Oryctolagus cuniculus: one gene and its partners. The protein of the gene in region 3 purifies or fractionates together with the protein of the main gene of each other region. This does not show direct contact. Links are inferred from orthologs where the notes say so. Each region holds a gene or a part of one and is shown on either strand. Other genes may lie near its edges.

What was found.
Region 1: the proteins of RIOK1 (region 3) and CLNS1A purify together in Homo sapiens (affinity purification with mass spectrometry; 3 studies listed by BioGRID and IntAct, with this or other methods). This does not show direct contact. The link is inferred for Oryctolagus cuniculus from reciprocal best matches to the Homo sapiens genes RIOK1 and CLNS1A.
Region 2: the proteins of RIOK1 (region 3) and WDR77 purify together in Homo sapiens (affinity purification with mass spectrometry; 5 studies listed by BioGRID and IntAct, with this or other methods). This does not show direct contact. The link is inferred for Oryctolagus cuniculus from reciprocal best matches to the Homo sapiens genes RIOK1 and WDR77.
Region 4: the proteins of RIOK1 (region 3) and COPRS purify together in Homo sapiens (affinity purification with mass spectrometry; 3 studies listed by BioGRID and IntAct, with this or other methods). This does not show direct contact. The link is inferred for Oryctolagus cuniculus from reciprocal best matches to the Homo sapiens genes RIOK1 and COPRS.

What each region holds. Positions count from the first base shown.
Region 1 is NC_091432.1:68,739,462-68,744,691, reverse strand, and holds part of CLNS1A (methylosome subunit pICln), read left to right. Parts: intron 1-3,230; coding exon 3,231-3,329; intron 3,330-3,990; coding exon 3,991-4,098; intron 4,099-5,230. UniProt on the Homo sapiens protein: Involved in both the assembly of spliceosomal snRNPs and the methylation of Sm proteins.
Region 2 is NC_091438.1:58,932,800-58,937,480, reverse strand, and holds part of WDR77 (methylosome protein WDR77), read right to left. Parts: intron 2,015-4,681; coding exon 1,944-2,014; intron 1,815-1,943; coding exon 1,760-1,814; intron 1,314-1,759; coding exon 1,242-1,313; intron 674-1,241; coding exon 565-673; intron 85-564; coding exon 16-84; intron 1-15. UniProt on the Homo sapiens protein: Non-catalytic component of the methylosome complex, composed of PRMT5, WDR77 and CLNS1A, which modifies specific arginines to dimethylarginines in several spliceosomal Sm proteins and histones.
Region 3 is NC_091436.1:163,158,839-163,163,206, forward strand, and holds part of RIOK1 (serine/threonine-protein kinase RIO1), read right to left. Parts: intron 3,569-4,368; coding exon 3,449-3,568; intron 2,546-3,448; coding exon 2,492-2,545; intron 1,267-2,491; coding exon 1,114-1,266; intron 673-1,113; coding exon 562-672; 3' UTR 1-561. UniProt on the Homo sapiens protein: Involved in the final steps of cytoplasmic maturation of the 40S ribosomal subunit. Involved in processing of 18S-E pre-rRNA to the mature 18S rRNA. Required for the recycling of NOB1 and PNO1 from the late 40S precursor.
Region 4 is NC_091448.1:42,254,891-42,260,578, forward strand, and holds the start of COPRS (coordinator of PRMT5 and differentiation stimulator), read left to right. Parts: upstream 1-2,179; 5' UTR 2,180-2,271; coding exon 2,272-2,370; intron 2,371-2,460; exon of another isoform or gene 2,461-2,645; coding exon of another isoform or gene 2,646-2,708; intron 2,709-4,234; coding exon 4,235-4,301; intron 4,302-5,688. UniProt on the Homo sapiens protein: Histone-binding protein required for histone H4 methyltransferase activity of PRMT5.

The DNA of each region.
Region 1 (5,230 bases), on a different chromosome or scaffold from region 3:
GCCTGCGATGCCAGAATCCCATATGGGCCCCGGTTTGTGTCCCAGTTGCTCTGCTTCTGATCCAGCTCTCTGATAATGTGCCTGGGAGGGCAGCAGAGGGTGGCACAAGTGCTTGGGCCCCTGTACCTACATGGGAGACTCGGAGGAAGCTCCTGGCTCCTGGCTTTGGATCAGCCCAACCCTGGCCATTTCAGACATTTAGGGGAGTCAACCATTGGATAGAAGACCTCTCTGTCTCTCCCTCTCTCTATAACTCTGCCTCTCAAGTGAATAAATAAGTCTTTAAATAAATAAAAAGTTAAAAAAAAAAAAAGGACTTAGTGATATAACCCTTTAGTTGTTTCGTATGAGTAAAATCGCTGCATTAAGGTAAGAAACATTTTTAAAGCTCTTAACGTATTTTGTGACATTGCTTTCCAAAAAGTTTACATCAATTTACACTTTCAGTAGTGGTGTATATAAAGGTACTACCTTGAGGCAAGTGATGTGGCACAGTGGATTAAGCTGCTGCCTGCAGTGCTGGCTTCCAACATGGGTGCTGGTTCGAGTCCTGGCTGCAGAGTCCCAGCTGCCCACTTCTTATCCAGTTCTCTGCTAATGCGCCTGGGAAAGCAGTGGAAGATGGCCCAAGTCCCTGGGCCCCTGCCACCAATGTGGGTGACCTGGAAGAAGCTCCTGGCTCCTGGCTCCTGGCTTTGGCCTGGCCCAGCCATAATTGTTGAGACTATTTGGGGATTGAACCAGCAGATGGAAGATTTCTCTCTGTGTCTCCTTCTCTGTAACTTTGGCTTTCAAATAAATAAATAAATCTCTTAAAAAAAATATGTACCACCTTTCTACTTATCTTCATCAGCATGGACAATTAACTTTTTTTTTTTTAAGATTTATTTATTTATTTGAAAGGCAGAGTTACAGAGAGGCAGCAGGGGGAGGGGGCCTTCCATCACTGGTTCACTCCCCAGGTGGCTGCAACGGCTGGAGCTGTGCCAATCCGAAGCCAGGAGCTTCTTCCGGGTCTCCCATGTGGATATAGGGGCCTAAGGACCTGGGCCATCCTCCACTGCCTCCCCAGGTGATAGCAGAGAGCTGGATGGGAAGTGGAGCAGCTAGGACTCTAACCACTGCCCATGTGGGATTCTGGCACTACAGGCGGTGGCCTTACCCACTATGTCACATGGCTAGCCCAATAATTGACATTTTTGTCAATGGTAACTTTAATATAGTAAATTTTAATTTTTTATGTAAATTTATAATTTATAGTAAATTTTTAATTTTTTTTAATTTTTTTTAAATTTTTTTAAATTTTTTTGACAGGCAGAGTGGACAGTGAGAGAGAGAGACAGAGAGAAAGGTCTTCCTTTGCCGTTGGTTCACCCTCCAATGGCCGGCGCGGCCGGCGCGCTGCGGCCGGCGCACCGCGCTGATCCGATGGCAGGAGCCAGGAGCCAGGTGCTTTTCCTGGTCTCCCATGGGGTGCAGGGCCCAAGCACCTGGGCCATCCTCCACTGCACTCCCTGGCCACAGCAGAGAGCTGGCCTGGAAGAGGGGCAACCGGGACAGAATCCGGCGCCCCGGCCGGGACTAGAACCCAGTGTGCCGGCACTGCAAGGCGGAGGATTAGCCTAGTGAGCCGCGGCGCCGGCCTTAATTTTTTATTATTATCAATTTTGAGCATCTATTTAGATGTTTTGATAACATACCTTTTATTATGAAATAATCGAAGCATATTGAAAAGCACAGAGAATAGTAAAACAGGTATTCAATATCTAGTGCAAATTGTAACTTTTTTCATAATTAGTGTAGGCTTTTTTAAGAAAACATCAATCTGCTGAAACTCCCACCCCTTTTTAAAATATTTATTTATTTATTTATTTGAAAGAGAGGGGGAGAGAGAGAGATCTTCCATCTGCTAGTTCACTCTTCAAGTGGCTGCAAAGGCTAGGCTGGGCTAGGCAGAAGCTAGGAGGCAGAAGCTTCATCCAAGTCTCCCACATGGGTATAGTGGTGCAAACACTTGGGAGATGGATCAGCAGTGGAGCAGCTGGGACATGAACCGGTACCCGTATGGGATGCTGGCATCACTGGAGGCAGCTTAACCTGCTCTACCACAACACTGACCCTTAAAACCCTTTTTGTTTGGCTACGCATTTCCTTCTCTACTCTGACTGCAGGAGATGATGTGTGTGCATATATGCTCATAAACAACATGTAATGGTTTTGTTTTGTATTTAAAATGTTAATGTAAATAAATAGTATATACATTCTGCAACTAGCTTTTTTTAAAGAGTATTTCATTAGTTCATACAGTACATCAGTATTGTGCAGAAATTCCTTGGGTACAATATGTGGATGTGGAATTGCTAGGTAGTAGGGAATGAGTATCTCTAAGGTGATTATAGCAGCTTTCACTACTACCAGCATAATGCTAGTTTTCTTTAACAAAAATCTGTATTCTTTCTTATCTACAGACCTGGTTGACTTACATGTTGGGTCAGTCGACTTCTATGGACTTTAGTTTTCTCATCTGTAAATTGTTGGTGATGAACCACATTAGTGATTTACAGAGTGTTGCTGAACCTTTTGTTTCAAGGTGAAAGGGAAAAGAAGCAGATGACTGGAACTATACTTATTAGAAACCTGAGTATTTGGGTCTTTTCATCCTCATTCTGGCCTCACAGGGGCTCTGGAATCCTTAGGACTCAGTGAAGCACTGTGCAGCTAGACCAGAGACTATTCAGAGCCTTTTTAAGCTCTAAAATAACCACTATTGGGGGGCCAGCGCTGTGGCGCAGTGGGTTAAAGCCCCAGCCTGCAGTGCTGGCATCCCATATGTGTGCTGGTTCTAGTCCCAGCTGCTCCTCTTCCGATCCAGCTCTCTGCTAATGGCCTGGGAAAGCAGTGGAAGATGGCCCAAGTCTTTGGGCCCCTGCACCCACGTGGGAGACCTGGAAGAAGCTCCTGGCTCCTGGCTTCAGATCGGCGCAGCTCCGGCTGTTGCGGTCAGTTGGGGAGTGAACCAGCGGATAGAAGACCTCTCTCTCTCTGACTTTACCTCTCTCTGTAACTTTTTCAAATAAATAAAATAATTTAAAAAATAACCACGATTGGAAATAAAAATTGAAGTGCAACATTCAGATTTATCAGTAAGCATCCTCTAGGAAATTCTCTTAGCTTTTTTTTTTTTAAGTCAAACACATGGCATATTAAAAAGTTATTTATTCCTTTTCCAGAAGAATCAAAAGAACTTGTTGCTGATGAAGAGGAAGACAGTGATGATGATGTTGAACCTATTTCTGAATTTAGATTTGTACCTGGTGATAAATCAGCATGTGAGTGTTCCGTGTATTGATTCTTTTCCCTTTTTTCACAAGCGTCCTCCCCCAGCCCCGTTCATGGTCTCTCTCTTGTTGTCTTACATACACACCTCACTTTTATCAACATTTCGTCAGTTGTATTGCCCTTTCTTTTTTGTGTCTGTAATACTGAGAACAGACACTTATAATAACGATTGTGAATGTAGCAAGCATATTGTATGTAACATGTTACCTAGTATGTTTTGCTAATGGAGGGTCAGTTTTATTCATTCATTTTATTGATTGATGCTCTTGACTTCGAATCTCATCTAAAGGATGAATGGCAAAGGAGTCACAGCAATTGCAAGAAGATGATGCCAAGACAACTAGAAAGAGCCCTGTCGGTTGAGAGAGGCATTCCCCTGATACCAACGATCTGACAAGGACTTGGCCCCTTTTCTCAGAAAATCCAACTAGCCATGAAGAGATCTCAGTAATATCTCAGAATGAACATTTATTTTGTGACTTGCCCATTGCCTCAGGCACTTCCAGAATTGGTCCTACTTGGAATCTGGCAGGTTTTGCAGACATTATCCTAGTATACCTCTTGTGTACCTGTTAAATTTCTTAGCACTGGTGGTTTTTATTAAAATTGTATGGTGAAAAGTCTTAGTTAAAACTTCATTTTCTTGTTTAGTGGAGGCAATGTTCACTGCAATGTGTGAATGTCAGGCCTTGCATCCAGACCCTGAGGATGAAGATTCAGATGATTATGATGGAGAAGAATATGATGTGGAAGCACATGGTTAGTGAATAGATTTTTTAAATGTTTGTCTGCTTTAATGTTTCATTTTTGAGCATTTATGTGTACTGTAGACAGAGGATTGTAGGTCTTTATAGTTAACATGTTCCTTCAAACAGGTCACTGCCAAAGTCATTTCTTTTTTCCTAGAACCATACTTCATTTAAGAATCTCTTCCATTGCTTTTCTAGACTAGAATGTAGTCCTCAGCTTGATGGCGTCTTGCAGCTCTTGAGGCACCTGCTGTTCTCTTTTCTCCACTTCTGTTATGCCCTTTCCTCCTTGTGCATTTCCTTCCTAGGCTGAGACAAACTCATCTCTAGGATTCTCTATCATATACTTAAATATTTACTCTTCTTTCGTTCGTTCATTCTTTCTTTCTTTTCTTTTTTTTTTTTTTTCTTTTTTTTTTTTTTGACAGGCAGAGTTAGCCAGTGAGAGAGAGAGAGAGAGAGACAGAGAGAAAGGTCTTCCTTCTGTTGGTTCACCCCCCTCCAAATGGCTGCTACGGTTGGCGCAGCGCGCTGTGCCGATCTGAAGCCAGGAGCCAGGTGCTTCCTCCTGGTCTCCCGTGCGGGTGCAGGGCCCAAGCCCTTGGGCCATCCTCCACTGCCTTCCCAGGCCACAGCAGAGAGCTAGACTGGAAGAGGAGCAACCGGGATAGAACCGGCGCCCCAACCGGGACTAGAATCCGGAGTGCCGGTACCGCAGGTGGAGGATTAGCCTAGTGAGCCTCGGTGCTGGCTAAATATTTACTCTTCTTTCTAATATTTTTAATTTTTTTGTCCCTTTTTGGTTGTTTTTTCTGCTTTTTTTTTTTTAAGGAGCATGTATTTTAATCAGGAAAAGCCTTCAATACAAATTCCCATCAAACTAATTAGCACTCCCCTGAAAATTCTCACCTTGGTATAATATAGGAGTCCCTGGCCTTGCGAGCACCCTCTTTCATTGCAGTCCTAGAACGTGTGATTCTTTGGGAATTGCTGTTTACTGGCATTACTTCTTGGAATCCTTTTTCATCTTATATGATAGGTATATTTTCTTTGTATTTCTGTCTTCAAGGGTCAACTTTGTCAATGAATGTTGAAAAGACAAGTACTTTCCTGAAAGCCTGTTTCCACTGCTCCTTACATCT
Region 2 (4,681 bases), on a different chromosome or scaffold from region 3:
CCACGCCACACTTACACCTCGGAAAGGCTGGAGTCCAGCACAGCAAGCGAGCAGTCTTCGCTGAGAGAGGCCAGGAAGGGTGCACTGGGAGAGCAAGCAGAGGGTTGGGAAAGGAGAGCCCGAGGATCCCCACCACCGCCCTCCCTGGGCCAGTCCACTAGCTGCGGCTGAGGTCGCAACCCTGCAAGTCCCCGTTACAAGTTCCAGGGAAAGAAGGGGAACATGGAACAAAGTCAGGTTGGCCATTATCCTGGCCACAAACCATCGCATCTGGCCCCTCTCTGTGGCCTCGGCAGCAACCCAGAAACAGAGGCTCTCCCCACACCCAGCCCAGGAGCCCACGGATTAGTCACTTTGGCTGCTAAGCAAAAATGAGGCCCCTTTTCAGCCATTTTCACAGAGCCTATGGAACCCAAGAAAGGTCCACGGGGCTTGAGAGATCTCTGAGGCTCTGAGAGCGGGGCCAGAGCACCGTGCGCTCCAAGGAGCCGCCCAGTCAGCAGTGCTTCACCCACACCCGTTCCCATTCAGGCCCCTCAGGTCCCCGATGACAAAGGACAGTACCTGTGGGGCGAGAACACCAGCCCAGTGACACACTGCGAGTGCACAGCTGAACTGAGCGCACAGCCCGCACTCTTGGTGTCCACAAGAGAGACAGTCCCATTCTCATCACCTGCAGAACAAAGGGAACACGGCGCCGAGGTTAAGCACACGGGCTGTGGGGTCAGCCAGATCCAGATCTGAATCCCAGTTTCTCAAGCCCAGACAAGTCGACTGCTCTGAGCATCAGTTTCTTTTGCAAAGTAGGAATAACAACTATGAGGTGGTTGTGAAAACTGCGTGAATGAATGAAGCAGCTGTCATTTTAACCATAAGCTACATCATCATACGCTTGGCCTTATTACCAAGACAACAGTACCACTCAACACACAATGGGAGAGAATTCCCAACACAACAAAGCACTTGCTTTGTGGCTCACTAACCACTAGGCATGCCCAGAATATGGGAGCCAGAACAAACAGGAATCAATTCACTGCGGAAAAAAAACCCATTATGCTCGCCAAAGCTAAATCGCAAGTACTTTTGAGTCATGCCCCTTCCTGACCCCTCCATTACTGCCATCCATCAAGTGCTCAAGTTGCTGTGCGATGGAGCAGCAAGAGCCGGTGCAGCACCCAGTGAGCTTCCTCTCCCACCCGCCCGTGCCCAGAGCCAACACGCAGTCTGACACGCTGCCTTACCAAAGACAAAGACTTCACTTTGCTGAGGATGCCAAGCCAGTGAAGTAGCAAGGTAGCCAGAGGCATTGCAGCCTGCAAAGGAAAGAAGGATCCAGAACAAAACTCAGAACCCACAGGAAGCACTTTCTCAACAGAAGTCACTCGAACTCCAAGGAGCACCTTTACTTCGTTTCCCACACCCTGCTAAGGCAGCAGGTCCTCAGTCCTGCACCTCATAAACTACCTTAATCCATCAGCCTCCTGTGCTTTCCAGACATAAGCCAAGTTTCAAGCAAAAAGCATGAAGATACCAATTCCGGCCCTCTGCCCACTCATCTGACCAAGCAAATCACCCCCCAGGAACCAGCCCCTTTCCCTCCTTCTTTGTACTCATTGCATAGAGTGGGGTTAGCAGAGCCCCAGCTGAAAAAAAATTATGTCACTTATGTCACATACAGCAGTATTCCTTTTACTCTAGTCAGAGAACGTCTCTTCCAGGTAAGCTCCTAGGGCCTCCCCACCAAGGCTCTCAGACTCACCCATCTGTGATGCCGGCTTGGGACAGCGGGTATCCCACAGTAAAATTTTATTGTCCTAAAAGAAAGAGGAGCATTCAAATGGTCTCACAAGCCAAAGGACCAACTGCTGGCCAGTTCTCCACACCAGAGACTCTGGCCTACAGAGGGCTGGTGTGTGGTTAGGAGAGCAGAGGCAGTATCTCACCTCACTGCACGAAAGAAACACGGAGTCCTTATGGGGAGAGGCAGCAACACAGGTGACCTGCCCAGCGTGAGCTGTGAAGGAGAGAGAAAATGAAACATGACAGAGGCAACTGAGGGCTCTACAAGGCAAGCCAGATACAATCAAGGGGTGAGAGGGAATCTGAAGACACAGGCCTGTTATCATTTAGCAAATTCTGTGAGAGAAAAGGACTAGACAAAACCTAAGAAGAAAGGTTAAAGTGCCAGAGCCGGCCGTGTGGCACAGCGGGTTAAGGCCCTGGCCTGAAGCGCTGGCATCCCATATGGGTGCCGGTTCGTGTCCTGGCTATTCCACTTCTGACCTGGCTCTCTGCTGTGGCCTGGGAAAGCAGAAGACAGCCCAAGTCATTGGGCCCCTGCATCTGCATAGGAGACCCAGAAGAGGCTCCTGGCTCCTGGCTTAGGGTCGGTGCAGCTCCGGCCATTGCAGCCATTTGGGGAGTGAACCAACAGATGGAAGACCTCTCTGTCTCTCTCTCTGCATAACTCTGACTTTCAAATAAATAAACAAATCTCTTTTTTTTAAATAAAAAAGGCTAAAGTGTTATAAAACCTAAAAATGTCTGGGCAAAAAATTTGCAAAGATGATGAAGGAGAAATGAGGGGCTTAGTCAGCACAGTGAACTCAGGTAAGGTATCCTGGATACAAGAGCCAAGTTTGGAATAGCAGTCTTCATAACTGGAGCTCCTGTATCTCCAAGTAAAACACACAATTTTTGAGGAAGTTCGGGGTGCGGATACTTAGGAAAATCAATTTCTCCAAAGTTCTCTTGCCTAAAATTCAACTGCCTCTACTTTCAATCATGTGTCTCCTACCTTACAGAAGGAACACATGGCTCTTACTCATCCCAAACCTTTTCATGGGGTGTAAAATTCAAAGATTCCAAACTAAAGAACAAAAGGGGCTTTTTCCTAAGAGCCAGGGAGCTACAGAGCAGGAACACTGGCAAAATTTAGTGAAGGGGACTTAGCTTGTTTCAGTCACATCAAGAACTCCATTATGGCTCTGCGCCTTACCTGCACCTAACAAAAACAACTGAAAGATCTGATAGGTGTTGTAGGAAGACACTTCCTACAAGTTTGCCAGAATTTAGCAATGAATTCAACTTTTTCTGATAAAAAGTTAAGTCTAATTTATGAAACTGGCTTAACAATGCATACTGGATTTTCACCTGAAAGGCTATTTGAGAAGACATTTTGTACAAATCAAATAGGCTTAATCTGCAAATCAAAAATGCTAACAAATAAATACTTGAAAAGTATATAAGTATTTGATAAATGATGTTAGAAACTATCTCTTTCGCAGCTTAAAATCTTTTAGCTAGCATTAAAAACATATGAGGGAGTAGTTTTCAAAACATTCTACGGGTAAACATTTTTGATGATCACTGCTAAGTGTTAATCAGGGGCTGTGGAAACCACTTCTCTAGAGTCCTTCAGTTAGACTTGCCACGACAGTTTGAGTAGCTCCGCTCTGACACAGAAGGGTGGAAGTAAACTGCCTTCCACAGTTCTCTCCCAGCCCTGGAATGAATGGATGATAAGCTAGAAAAGGACTTTATTGCTCCCTGGAAAAAAGCGAAGCTCTGAGATAAGCACCGTGGAGATATACAAAAGATGAAGAAAGGAAACGTGGTTCCTCTGCTCTCAAAGGCTTTGGACATCCGTGTCAGGACTGAGACACGAATGAAGGAAATGCTGAAAAACAGCTAGCATCATCCAGGAAAGCACATCACATGTCTAAGAAATCAAAGGCAAGCGTAGTAGACTGGGGGCACTGGCGTTTCAACACTATTTGCCCTTTATGTGGAGGCCCGGGAGATGTGCGAGTCGGTGATTTTTGCTCTGGCCTATAGGTGGATCATGTGAGGGAAAGGGACCCAGCCACTGGAAGACCCCCACAGGGATCACCCAGCATCTACAGCCCGGAGCCGCACTTTATGTTCTAGACATTATCTTCATGAGGAATGGCTCCCAACGGCTCGTGTTGCTCATGAAAGCAAAAAGGAAAAACATAGGGGAAAAAAAAAAATGGTTCTGACCAGGAAAATAAACATTTTATGGAAGGGAATATTCAAAAGTTCAAGATTCACAATTCTCAGGGCTTTCCCTCAAGAATGTCAAGCATCTACTGTGACTGGCTTAGGCCAGGACTACATGCTTGCAAGGAGAATGACAGTAAAAAGGGCTTGCAAGCCATGACATAAAAACAGTATTCTGATCTACAGACAGGAACCAATAAACGACCAAAAGAGCCGAAGGTTCCAGGTGTGAGACAGGGCTTCCGTCTGTGTGCGGAAGGGCCTGAAAACGACTGGGCGCAGGAGAAATGCACAGTGAGGGGATGGACCAAATGGAAGAAGACTCACAAGACCCTGGGGACCAACAGCAGAGGGACAGCAGAAGTGGAAGAGGACTGAGTCTGAACTCTCTGTGACTGAGAAGGAGGTAAGAGCATCAACAGAAACAGGGAAAATGAGAGGCCGGTGTTGTGGCGTAGCAGGTTAAACCGCCAACTGTGACACTGGCATCTGTGAGTGCTGGCTGAGTCTCTGCCGCTCTACTTTTGATCCAGCTCCCTGCTAATGTGGCCAGAAAAGCAGCAGACGATGGCCCAAGTTCTCGGGCCCCTGCCATCCTTGTGGGAGACCAGGGTGGTGTTCCTGGCTCCTAGCCCAGCCCTGGCCATTACAGGCATTG
Region 3 (4,368 bases):
TAGCCCAGTCCTGGCCATGGCAGATATTTGAGGAGTGTACTAGTACAAGAGAGCACTTCTCTCTGCCTCTCAGAAAAATTTTTAAAAAGATGCAGTGTGAGTACATCACAAACGACCAAAAACGAACACAGAGCAGAGGTGCAACAAACCAACATCAATGGCCAGCTGGATTTCCTAAAAGGAAAATTCCTTTTATACTATACGCCATGGCCTTATGATGAAATAATTTCAGACGGTCTTTGGCATGTAAAAAGAGAGCAGAAACAATCTCCCAGGGTTGTCTGAAGCACACTTACATTTAAATATTTATGATGCTTCCAAAAACATACTTGCAGGAGACAAAATAGAAAAATAAGAATGTGTGAAGCTCTTCTCTACAACAGTTTAAATGAGTCCTTTGCCAACACCAAAGTGCCTGCCTCGGGGCACCGGGAGCTCACTTGTGCATCCCTGCCCGACAGCTCTCTACCGTCTTCACAGTGCCACAGCGACAGTGCAGCTGCAGGCCGTCGGCCACCTGCCAGACGCGCTGCAAACGCCCGCTCACGCGGTGGCCCTGTGCTATTTGCCCCTTTTGGTCTTGGCCGTCTTCTCCCTCCTTTTCTTTACATGTTTAGGAATTTTGTTTTTTCTTTTCTCTCTCTGGGCTTCCTTGACCTTCTTTTTTCTTTCCTGTAAAAAACAAACAAACAAAACACAGATTTTCATCATTCAGTGTATTCACAGTACAATTACAACTAAATAACATTGTATGTAAGGAGCTGAAAGTGAAAGTAGCATATAAGATGAATGAAAAAAATTAGGGGTTGGTGGTAGAAGCTGGGGTGAAACGGTCTTTCCACTTTTTAAAAAAAAAAAAAAAAAGATATTTCTTTATTCGAAACAATTAGAGAGGGAAGAAGAGACAGAGGGAGAATCTCATCTGCTGGTTCACTCCCCAGAAGGCCGCAATGGGGCTGAGCCAGGCCAAAGCCAGGGGCTTCACTTGGGTCTCCCACATAGGTGGCAGGGGCCCAAAATACTGGGGCCATCTTCCACTGCTTTTTCCAGGCCATGAGCAGGCGTGGAGCCAAGAAATGAATTGGAGCAAAGGGATTTAAGCTCCTGACCAACCTTTTTATCAACATCAGGGTCAGTGGTGTGTTTCTTGCAGTGGGCGTGGTCGCCCCGCTCTTCAGAGTCTGTGTCGGAGCACTCAGAGCTGCCGGCTCCTTCTGAGTCAGAGTAAGTCTTGTCCTGAACTTGGTTTTCTAGCAGAGCAGGGACCTAGAAATCATTACAGATAATGTTACCCTAACCGACCTGTTATCGTTGTAAGTGAATGTGCTAAGGCCAGAATTCAGATCTCAGCCTTGCAGGTGTACTCAGAACAACACGATGACAAACAACAGAACCGACACCGGGGAGGGAGAGAGGGAGACCAGGGCACCCATGCCACTGCCGCTCACGAGCACAGCTGAACGGAGCTTTCCTGAGCGGCCAAGCCCACGACACCTGTTCTGCTTCTTTCAGCACCTCAGAGAGGCTGGCTGGGGTCTGGAAGGATGTGAACATACAGAGAGGCAAGAACAAAGGCTGGTCTGGCTGACTTCCCGGGTGTTTTCCTACAAACCACATTGCTAGCAATAAGCTAATCCAATCGAGAGGGAAGGATTATCTTCCAAAAAGAAGAAAATTTCATTTTTCCTGTAATCAAGCAGGTTTTTAAAGCAACAGAAACATTTTTTAAGAGTAAGGATTCCTTTTTACAAGAAAACAGATCCTTAAGAGGCAACTGTACAGAAAGCGTTTCTAGCCAGTTGTCACTGAATATTCCTGCTCTGGAATCCAAGGCACCACTTCCCTACAACACCTGTCATTTGTAATGCAGAAATGCAGAACACTGGTGTTTCACTCACTTCACTCTTCCTACAGAAACGACAGTCAACTTTCAAAAAGCAGTAATCCTTCACTTATGCCCTTAAGATTGAAGAAAGAGCGAAGCCTTTATCACTACCTAAAATGGAATTCCTTAGTCCCACTCCTCAAAAAATGTAAGGTAAAAGACGACCAGGTTGAAGAAAGAACACTGCAGGAATCCAGCACAGGGCTGCTCTCAAGAGTTAACGCCTTGGAGTAGACACAGTCCAGACTACGTCTGAACACTGGCCGTAAAACAACCAAGAAGCACAAGGCGGTCCCTAGTTTAAACTCCACAAATGAAGGCAGGACACAGGAAAGACAAACGCCTCACATACGACAAGGGAGAATTTCCAGGACAGAATCAGGAATAAGCCGACCGCTCTTAGTATTATGGCTAGAAACATAAAAGAGAGCACTTCTGAAAATGTGCATAGGCTTTGCATTTTATTTAGTAACAACATAAACTTAGTATTTTATTTAGTAACAACATAAAACAACACCAATAGAATTCTAGTAACGCACTACACTCCATTCTCTATCCTTTGCAAGGGTTTCCCCATAACAAACAAGTAGCACATGGGCTCCATACCTCCTGCACGCCTGACAGGTCCTTCTTCAACCCTGTGACGGTCTGGTACAGGATCTTGTAACCGAGAGGGAAGAAAACAAGAAACATCATCAAACTAGACACACTGCACAATCAAGAACACAGTGGGCTACTTTATCTTCTGTGACTGGGTTCATCTGAGCAACACAGAAAGCCCATGGCATGGCTGTCACTCTTGTATACCAGGGAGGCCAGGCCCACAGGTCATTTCCAGCCTGGAGATCTGCACAGGTGAACATCTGTGATCAATGGGAAGACAGCAAACGCTAACTTGGAACTCCATTAAGGAAATGCCATCTATCTACCCTCTCCAATAATTACATTCTTCTCTCATTAGCTGACCTATATTTCAAAAAAATTTTGGGGCCGGTGCTGTGTTGTAGCAGGTAAAGCCGCTGCCTGCAGTGTCAGCATCCCATATGGGTGCCAGTTCTAGTCCCGGCTGCTCCTTTTCCGATCCAGCTCTCTGCTATGACCTGGGAAAGCAGTGGAAGATGGCCCAAGTCCTTGGGTCCCTGCACCCACGTGGGAGACCCAGAAGAAGCTCCTGGCTCCCGGCTTCATATCGGCGCAGCTCCGGCCGTTGTGGCCAACTGGGGAGTGAACAATTGGATGGAAGACCTCGCTCTCTCTCTCTAACTCTGACTTTCAAATAAATAATCTTTTTTTTTTTAAGTTTTTCCCAAAATATGTATGTTAATGAAATATATATGGCTGATGGATCTAGAACAGCCACTTACAACACCGACATATACACAAACCTCCCCTTTCCTCTAACTAGTCTGTTGTGTCATCCCCCAACAAACACCAACAAACTCCCCTCCCATCCACCATGCACACAGACATCCAACATCCCAGAGACCGGAAGTCCAAAGGTCCCAAGTGTGGGCAGTGCCTTTCTCTCATGCACCTGCCTGCCACACAGACCCAGCTCCTCACATTATCCTGCTGAGCATTCAAGGCCATGTCCTCTTCCTTCAGTTTCATCATTATGTCCACATCTCTCTCGTAGTTTTTCACTTCATTCAGGGTTCTAGGAATATATGCCCGCTTAAACACCTACAAGGGAGGGAAAGCACACCCAGAGCTGTTACCCACATCTCACACTCCCTCAGCATCCTCGCCCCACCAGCCACGGAGGGGTCCAGACGAATTGCCGTCTCCGACACGGTTCGCAGCCAAGCTGTATGCACGCACCGCTGCTGCATCTGCTGTGGGCAGTGCCGGACGTAACCTGCTCCCAATACAAAACACTAGCTTTTGACAGGATTTAGGAGAGGAAACAGCAGACCCCAGGTTATCCTTAGATAAAACCTCTCTTCCTTCTGCATTCCACAGAGCAGGAGGGGAAGGGATGGAGTTCGCTGGCAGGCGCAGGCTCTGCCTGAGGCAGTGATCCCTCACGGCACCATCACCCTCCCAGCTACTACGGTCAAAGAGGCCACCTTGTATTTCTCTACCTCACTACAAGCTCATGAATGCAAAAAAGAGACAAAACAGGCTATTATGGGAGATGGTGCTGTGGCGTAGCAGGTGAAGCTGCTGCCTGTAGTGCCGGCATCCCATATGGGTGCCAGTTCAAGTCCCAGCTGCTCCACTTCTGATCCAGCTCTCTGCTATGGCCTGGGAAAGCAGTAGAAGATGGGCCAAGGACTTGGGCTCCTGCACAGGCATGGGAGACGTGGAAGAAGCTCTTGGCTCCTGGCTATGGGTTGGCACAGCTCCAGCCATTGCAGCCATATGGGGAGTACACCACTGGATGGAAGACTTCTCTCTCTCTTTCCTTCTCTCTCTCTCTGCCTCTGTCTCTTTGTAATTTTGCCTTTCAAATAAATAAATAAATCTATTTAAGATAAAAA
Region 4 (5,688 bases), on a different chromosome or scaffold from region 3:
ACTTTCTTTCTAAAGATTTATTATTTATTTGAAAGGTAGAGTTACAGAGAGGTAGAGGCAGAGAGAGAAAGAGAGGTCTTCCATCTGCTGGTTCACTCCCCAAATGGCCATGATGGCTGTAGCTGAACTAGACCAAAGCCAGGAGCTAAGAGCTTCTTCTGGGTCTTCCACACATGTGTAGGACTTGGGCCATCTGCTTTCCAAGGCCACAGTGGAAAGCTGGATCGAAGTGGAGCAGCTTGGACCTGAACTGGCACCCATATGGGATGCTGGCACTGCAGGTGGTGGCTTTACCTGCTAGCCACAGTGCTGGCCCTTATCACTATCTTTCAAAGAAATAAATCTAAAAAGATTAATCGGGCCAACACTGTGGCATAGGGGATAAAGCTACTGCCTGCCTGTTAGAGTCTCAGCTACTCCGTTTCCGATCCAGCTTCCTGCTAATGGGCCTGGGAAAGCAGCCAAGGATGGCCCAAATACTTAGGCCCCTGCACCCACATGGGAGACCCAGAAGAAGCTCCTGGCATCGGATCTTTCCAGCTCCTGTGGTTATGGCCATCTGGGAAGTGAACCAGTGCATGGAAGATCTCTCTCTTTGCCTCCCTCTCTCGGTGACTTGGACTTTCAAAAAAAAAAAAAAACCATCAAAAAGATTAGTCACATTTCCTCACATTTCCTTTCCTGTGTGGGGTTGGGGAGGGGGGACGGGGACACCCAAACATTGAATATTATGTCACTGTTGGCTTTCTTCCCCCAAATGCCGCAAAGTGTGTGTGTGCTTTTAAGATTTATTTATTTGAAAGAGTTAAACAGAGAGGAGAGGCAGAGAGAGAGAGAGAGAGGTCTTCCATCTGCTGGTTCACTCCCCAAATGGCCGCCAACGGCCAGAGCTGTGCTGATCAAGAGCCAGGAGCTTCTTCCTAGTCTCCCACGTGGGTGCAGGGGCCCAAGGACTTGGGCCATCTTCTGTTTCACAGGCCATAGCAGAGAGCTGGACAGGAAGTGGAGCAGCCGGGTCTCGAACTGGCACCCATCTGGGATGCCTGAGCTTCAGGCCAGGGTGTTAACCCACTGTGCTACAACGCAGGCCCCACAAAGTGGTTTACAGACAACAAAATTCCTCTAGGGAGGCGCTCTAATGTCCCAAGAGGTCATAAGGTTTCCTGGTGAGCAAGGAGTCCCAGCTTCTGGCTTTTTGCTCCTTAAAGGTTAACATGTGAGTGGCCAGGGCTCCCTGGTTTAATCCTCCGTTTGCAGCGCCGGCATCACATGTGGCCGCCGGGTTCTAGTCCTGGTGGCTCCTCTTCCAGTCCAGCTCTCTGCTTTGGCCCGGGAAGGCAGTGGAGGATAGCCCAAGTGCTTGGACCCTGCACCCACGTGGGAGACCAGGAAGAAACACCTAGCTCCTGACTTCAGATCGGAGCAGCTCCGGCCGTAGCGGCCATTTTGGGAGTGAACCAAGGGAAAGAAGACCTTTCTATCTATCTGTCAAAAAAAAAAAGAAAAAAAGAAAAAGTTAACGTGATTATCACGCGTGGTCGGTGGCCAGCAGGGAAGGCAATGAAGGCCCTTGCTGCATGGGAGGCACCCCTCTTAGTCCTTAGAGGCAAAATGGGGAATAACTGGTGGCAGACCCAAATCTCAGCGTGGGAAGGTCGGAGCCCTGGTCGGATTCCACCACTAGTGCAGAATATTTAACCGTGTCCACACATTGCAGCTGTTTGAACAGCTGCCCTGGTTCCCAATAGACTGTTGTAACTCGAGGTGGGGCGTCGCTGGCTGCTAGGTTGTCTCGTTCGTTGAGGTTGTTAGGGTCTAATTCCAGTGGACCCAGAAAGAGGGTGAAACGTGGCTGGAGCCTCAAACTGCATTCTGAGTTTTGACAGCTCGGCTTCAGACGGTGTCAGGGCCGCTCCGGTATTCGTGTTCTAATGGGGAATGGAGGTTTTGCAGCTGAACACATCGGGTGTGGCAGAGTGGAGCTGGGATTCGGCCCTGCCGGCCCAGCCCGCGTTCCAGGCCGGGCGTTTGCGCGTGGGAGCCACCAGAACCAGTACTCCAGACTGGCTCCGTTTCTCACCGGGTAGGCAGGGGGCTCTGCGGTGGCGACGCGCCCCGCCCCCGGCGTCCTCGTGACCCGGTGTCCCGCCCCCGCGGCCGGGAGCACCCCGGCTGATTGGCCCCTGCGCGGCGTATCCTCAGGCTGGCAGCCAGGCTGGCGCATCACGTGGCCGAGCCGCGTCCAGGGCGCCCAGCCGTGGGCAGCTCGGCATGGACCCGCAGGCCGCCGGGGCCCGGGCACGGGGCGTCACGGAACCGCCTCGGGGCCCGCCGCTACCGAGCACGCGGGAGGCGCCCCGCAGCCTGGAGGTGAGCGCCGCGCGCGGGCCGAGCGCCGCCACCACCTGCAGCCAGTGCGGGAAGTTGGGGGCTCGCGGGGCGGTGCCCGGTGCGGGGCGCGGACAGCGCCACGGGCCGCTCCACAAGCCCTGAGCGCCGTTTGGGCTCGCGCTGGAGCTGGAAACGGCTGGCCGAGGAGCAGCGGGGCTTCGAGGCTGCCGGGCCGGGAGCTCCGAGGGGCGTGGGTGGGCGCGCCGGTCCCACTGAGGCTATTGGCCCACAGGGCGCCTCTGCGTACTTACTAAATGGGAGGTGATGTTGGGGACGGAGAGCTGGGGCCCGCTACTAGGGGCCTGGGCCCCGGCCAGGTGAGGGCTGCAAGGGGAGGGCTTCGCCTGGAGGAGCCCTGTTCACTGACTGAGGGTGGGGGGACGCTCACTATCCCCCGAGCGCTGAGGGGTGGGTGGGTGTCCCATGCACTCTCCGTTTACGGAGACCCGAAGGCCAGGTTTGACGCAGGGTTTGCAGAAACTTGCTTTCAGGTGCGCTCCAGGCAGCCCCCGTGTTTCCGAGACCGCTGTCGCAGTGCTCGCCTGTCCTTGTCTACAGTGTCTGCCTAGACGACAGCTCCTCCGTTTAGGGCTGGGAGCCCAGCGCCTAGCACGCGGGACAGGCGTAGTAATTGGGTGGACACAGCAGAGATGGGCCTTAACCAGAGACGTGCACGCGGCGGCAACGCTTGTAGTCGGGGAGAGCAGGGAGGGCTGCGCGCTGGCTCTCGCAGGTGGGAGTCCGGTGGTGCCTGCGGAGGCTGGCCAGGAAGAAGCGCAGGGCAAGTGGCTCAGAGCTGGGGCGGCGGCGTGGAGAAGCATGCTGAACAGGTCGTGGGGGGCGGGTGCCTTTGTGTTTGCTGGTGGAGGGCTGTTGAAGCTGTTGACCAGAGTGGTGATTAACCCTGTGGGTGGGGGAATTCGGAGGTCAAGGCCTCCTTAGCTTAGCCTCATCCCGCTGGTGGGCAGCCCTGAGCAATTGCTGCTGACCACTGGAAGTGGAATCACTTAAGGGAGGCATGGCTAGGCGAGGAGTGATGATTGGATTGAAACAGGTGCAGTTTAGATGTAGGATCAGAGGAGGTGAGTCTAAATTCTAGACGCCTCGCATTCCTGCCCGTGCGCTGGGAGAGCTCTTAGACGTTAGGTAGTAGGAACCACTCTCCCCTGTTTCCAGGGAAGAAAGCCCAGGGGCTGAAGCCAGGTGGCCCAGACAGTACCCTGAGTGGCAGAGCTGGGGCTGAAGGTGGGGCTTCCTGCGAGCGCTTCTGGGGCAATTAGAGCGTTTGGGAGACTTGTGGGTGCTGGAGGCAGAGAAGCTTCCGGCCGGCTGCAGGGGAGGGTGATTTCCAGCTGGTTTAGAGCTGTTTATTTCAGCCAGCACCACTCAGGACAGAGAGTTCCACTCCCATCCTGTGCCAGTGAGAAGAGGCAAAGAGTTGTGAACTAAATACTAAGTAACCAGAAAGGTCAAAAAGATGTCTGGAGGAAGCAGTGGGCAGGAAACAGCCAGGACAGCTCTGCAGAGCTGAAATCCAACCTGCTGCAGCTGGTGCTGAGGTCTCTGAGCTGGGAGAGTAGGGACCCTGGGCTCCAGACCTCTGACAAGAGGGCCCAGTGATGACACGGCCACCTCAGGTGTCCACACAGCTGTAGCCAGGGGTGCAGCCGTGTTGTTGGGATGGTGCCTGGAGAATTAGAAAGGCCAGCTGGATCTAACAGGGGGAGACAGAAATGTGGATCCCCATCAAGAGTGTGGGACTGGGACTCGACCTGAGAGGCAATGGCTTAGTACCAGGATCCGGGGCACCTGAGTTCCTGGTAATCGGTTGTTCTTCCTGCAGGCCACCTTCGCCACAGCAGACCCCAGTGGTCCAGAGACAGAGGCTGAGACGGCCACGGATCGACTAGGCAAGTAGATGTCGGAGCGGCCGTGATGGTCTCTACGTCTTGTTTCCCTGTTCCTTCTAACCAGCCCTCTGCTGCCGAGGTGCCTCCCCTGTCGCGTTTCAGCAATGCTTTCCGTTGAAAGCCCTGCCCAGGCTACCGTAAGGGAAATCCTGGACTTGGCTTACATCCCAACTCATCTCTTCAACTGAGAGCCAGCTCGCAGCCGTGACACGTGGGGGCTTGGGAGGCAGGCAGAATTGTATTTTCAACTCTGAGAGCCCTGGAATGGAGTATCATGGACTTGACAGTGAGACGAATAAGACCTACTCCCTAGGGTTGTTCTCAGGATTGGGGGACAGAGCGAGGAATCGTGTGGGTCTGTTACAGCAGCCGCTAGCCACAGGTGCAGTTGAAGTTAGTTCTAAGGCAGTACCACAGGAAACTCAGCTTCTCAGGCCACATTCCACGTGCTCAGTAGCCACGTGTGGGTAGTGCTGCCTTGTTGGACAGCAGTGATGCTAGAACATTTCCGTCTCGGCAGGAAGTTCGAATGGGAAGTGTTGGTCTAGATCACGCAGTCGCAGGTGTAACAGTCCCAGTAATGGAAACCTTTGAGCGCTCCTGTCGACAGGTGTAGTCTGTTTCTATTGTTTCCTTTCCCCCCCCCCACATCTCACAACAAACCTGTCTCCATTTTACAAATGAGGAAACAGATACAGCGTAGTTAATACAAAAAAAAAGTTTTTTTAAAATTTTATGTACTTGAAAAGTAGAATGAGGGGGTGGGGAAAGAGGGAGATATCTTCCTCTGGTTTACTCCCCAAATGGCCTCATTGTCTGGGGCTGGCCCAGGCTGAAGCCAGGAGCCTGTAACTCCACTGGGGTCTCCCCCAGGGGTGGCAGGGGCTCAAGCACTAGGGTCATCTTCCTCTGTCTTCCCAGGGACATCAGCAGGGAGCTGGATAAGATGTGGAGCAGCAGGGACTTGAAACAGCACCCATATGGGATGCTGGTATTACAGGTGGCAGCTTAACCTGTGCCACAGGGCTGGCCCCCATACAAAAATTTTTTTAAAACTTTTTCTTCTGTTTATTTGAAAGCAGTGGGGGAAGGGGGAAGCAGGGCAGAGAGAGATCTTTCATGTTCTAATTCACTTGAAAAGCCTCCCAGGGCTGAGCCAGGCCAAAGCCAGCAGCTGAAAACTCAGTTTGGGGATCTTACGGGTGGCAGGGACCCAAGTACTTGACCCAGGTACACTTCCCAGGGCGTGTATTTGCAGGAAGCTGGATTAGAAGTAGAGGAACCGAGACTCAAACCTGGCACTGCTATATGGGATGTGGACATCTCAGCTTCATCTTAAGTGCTGTGCCAAATGCCTGTCCCTTCCCCGAATTAAAAAAAAAATTAG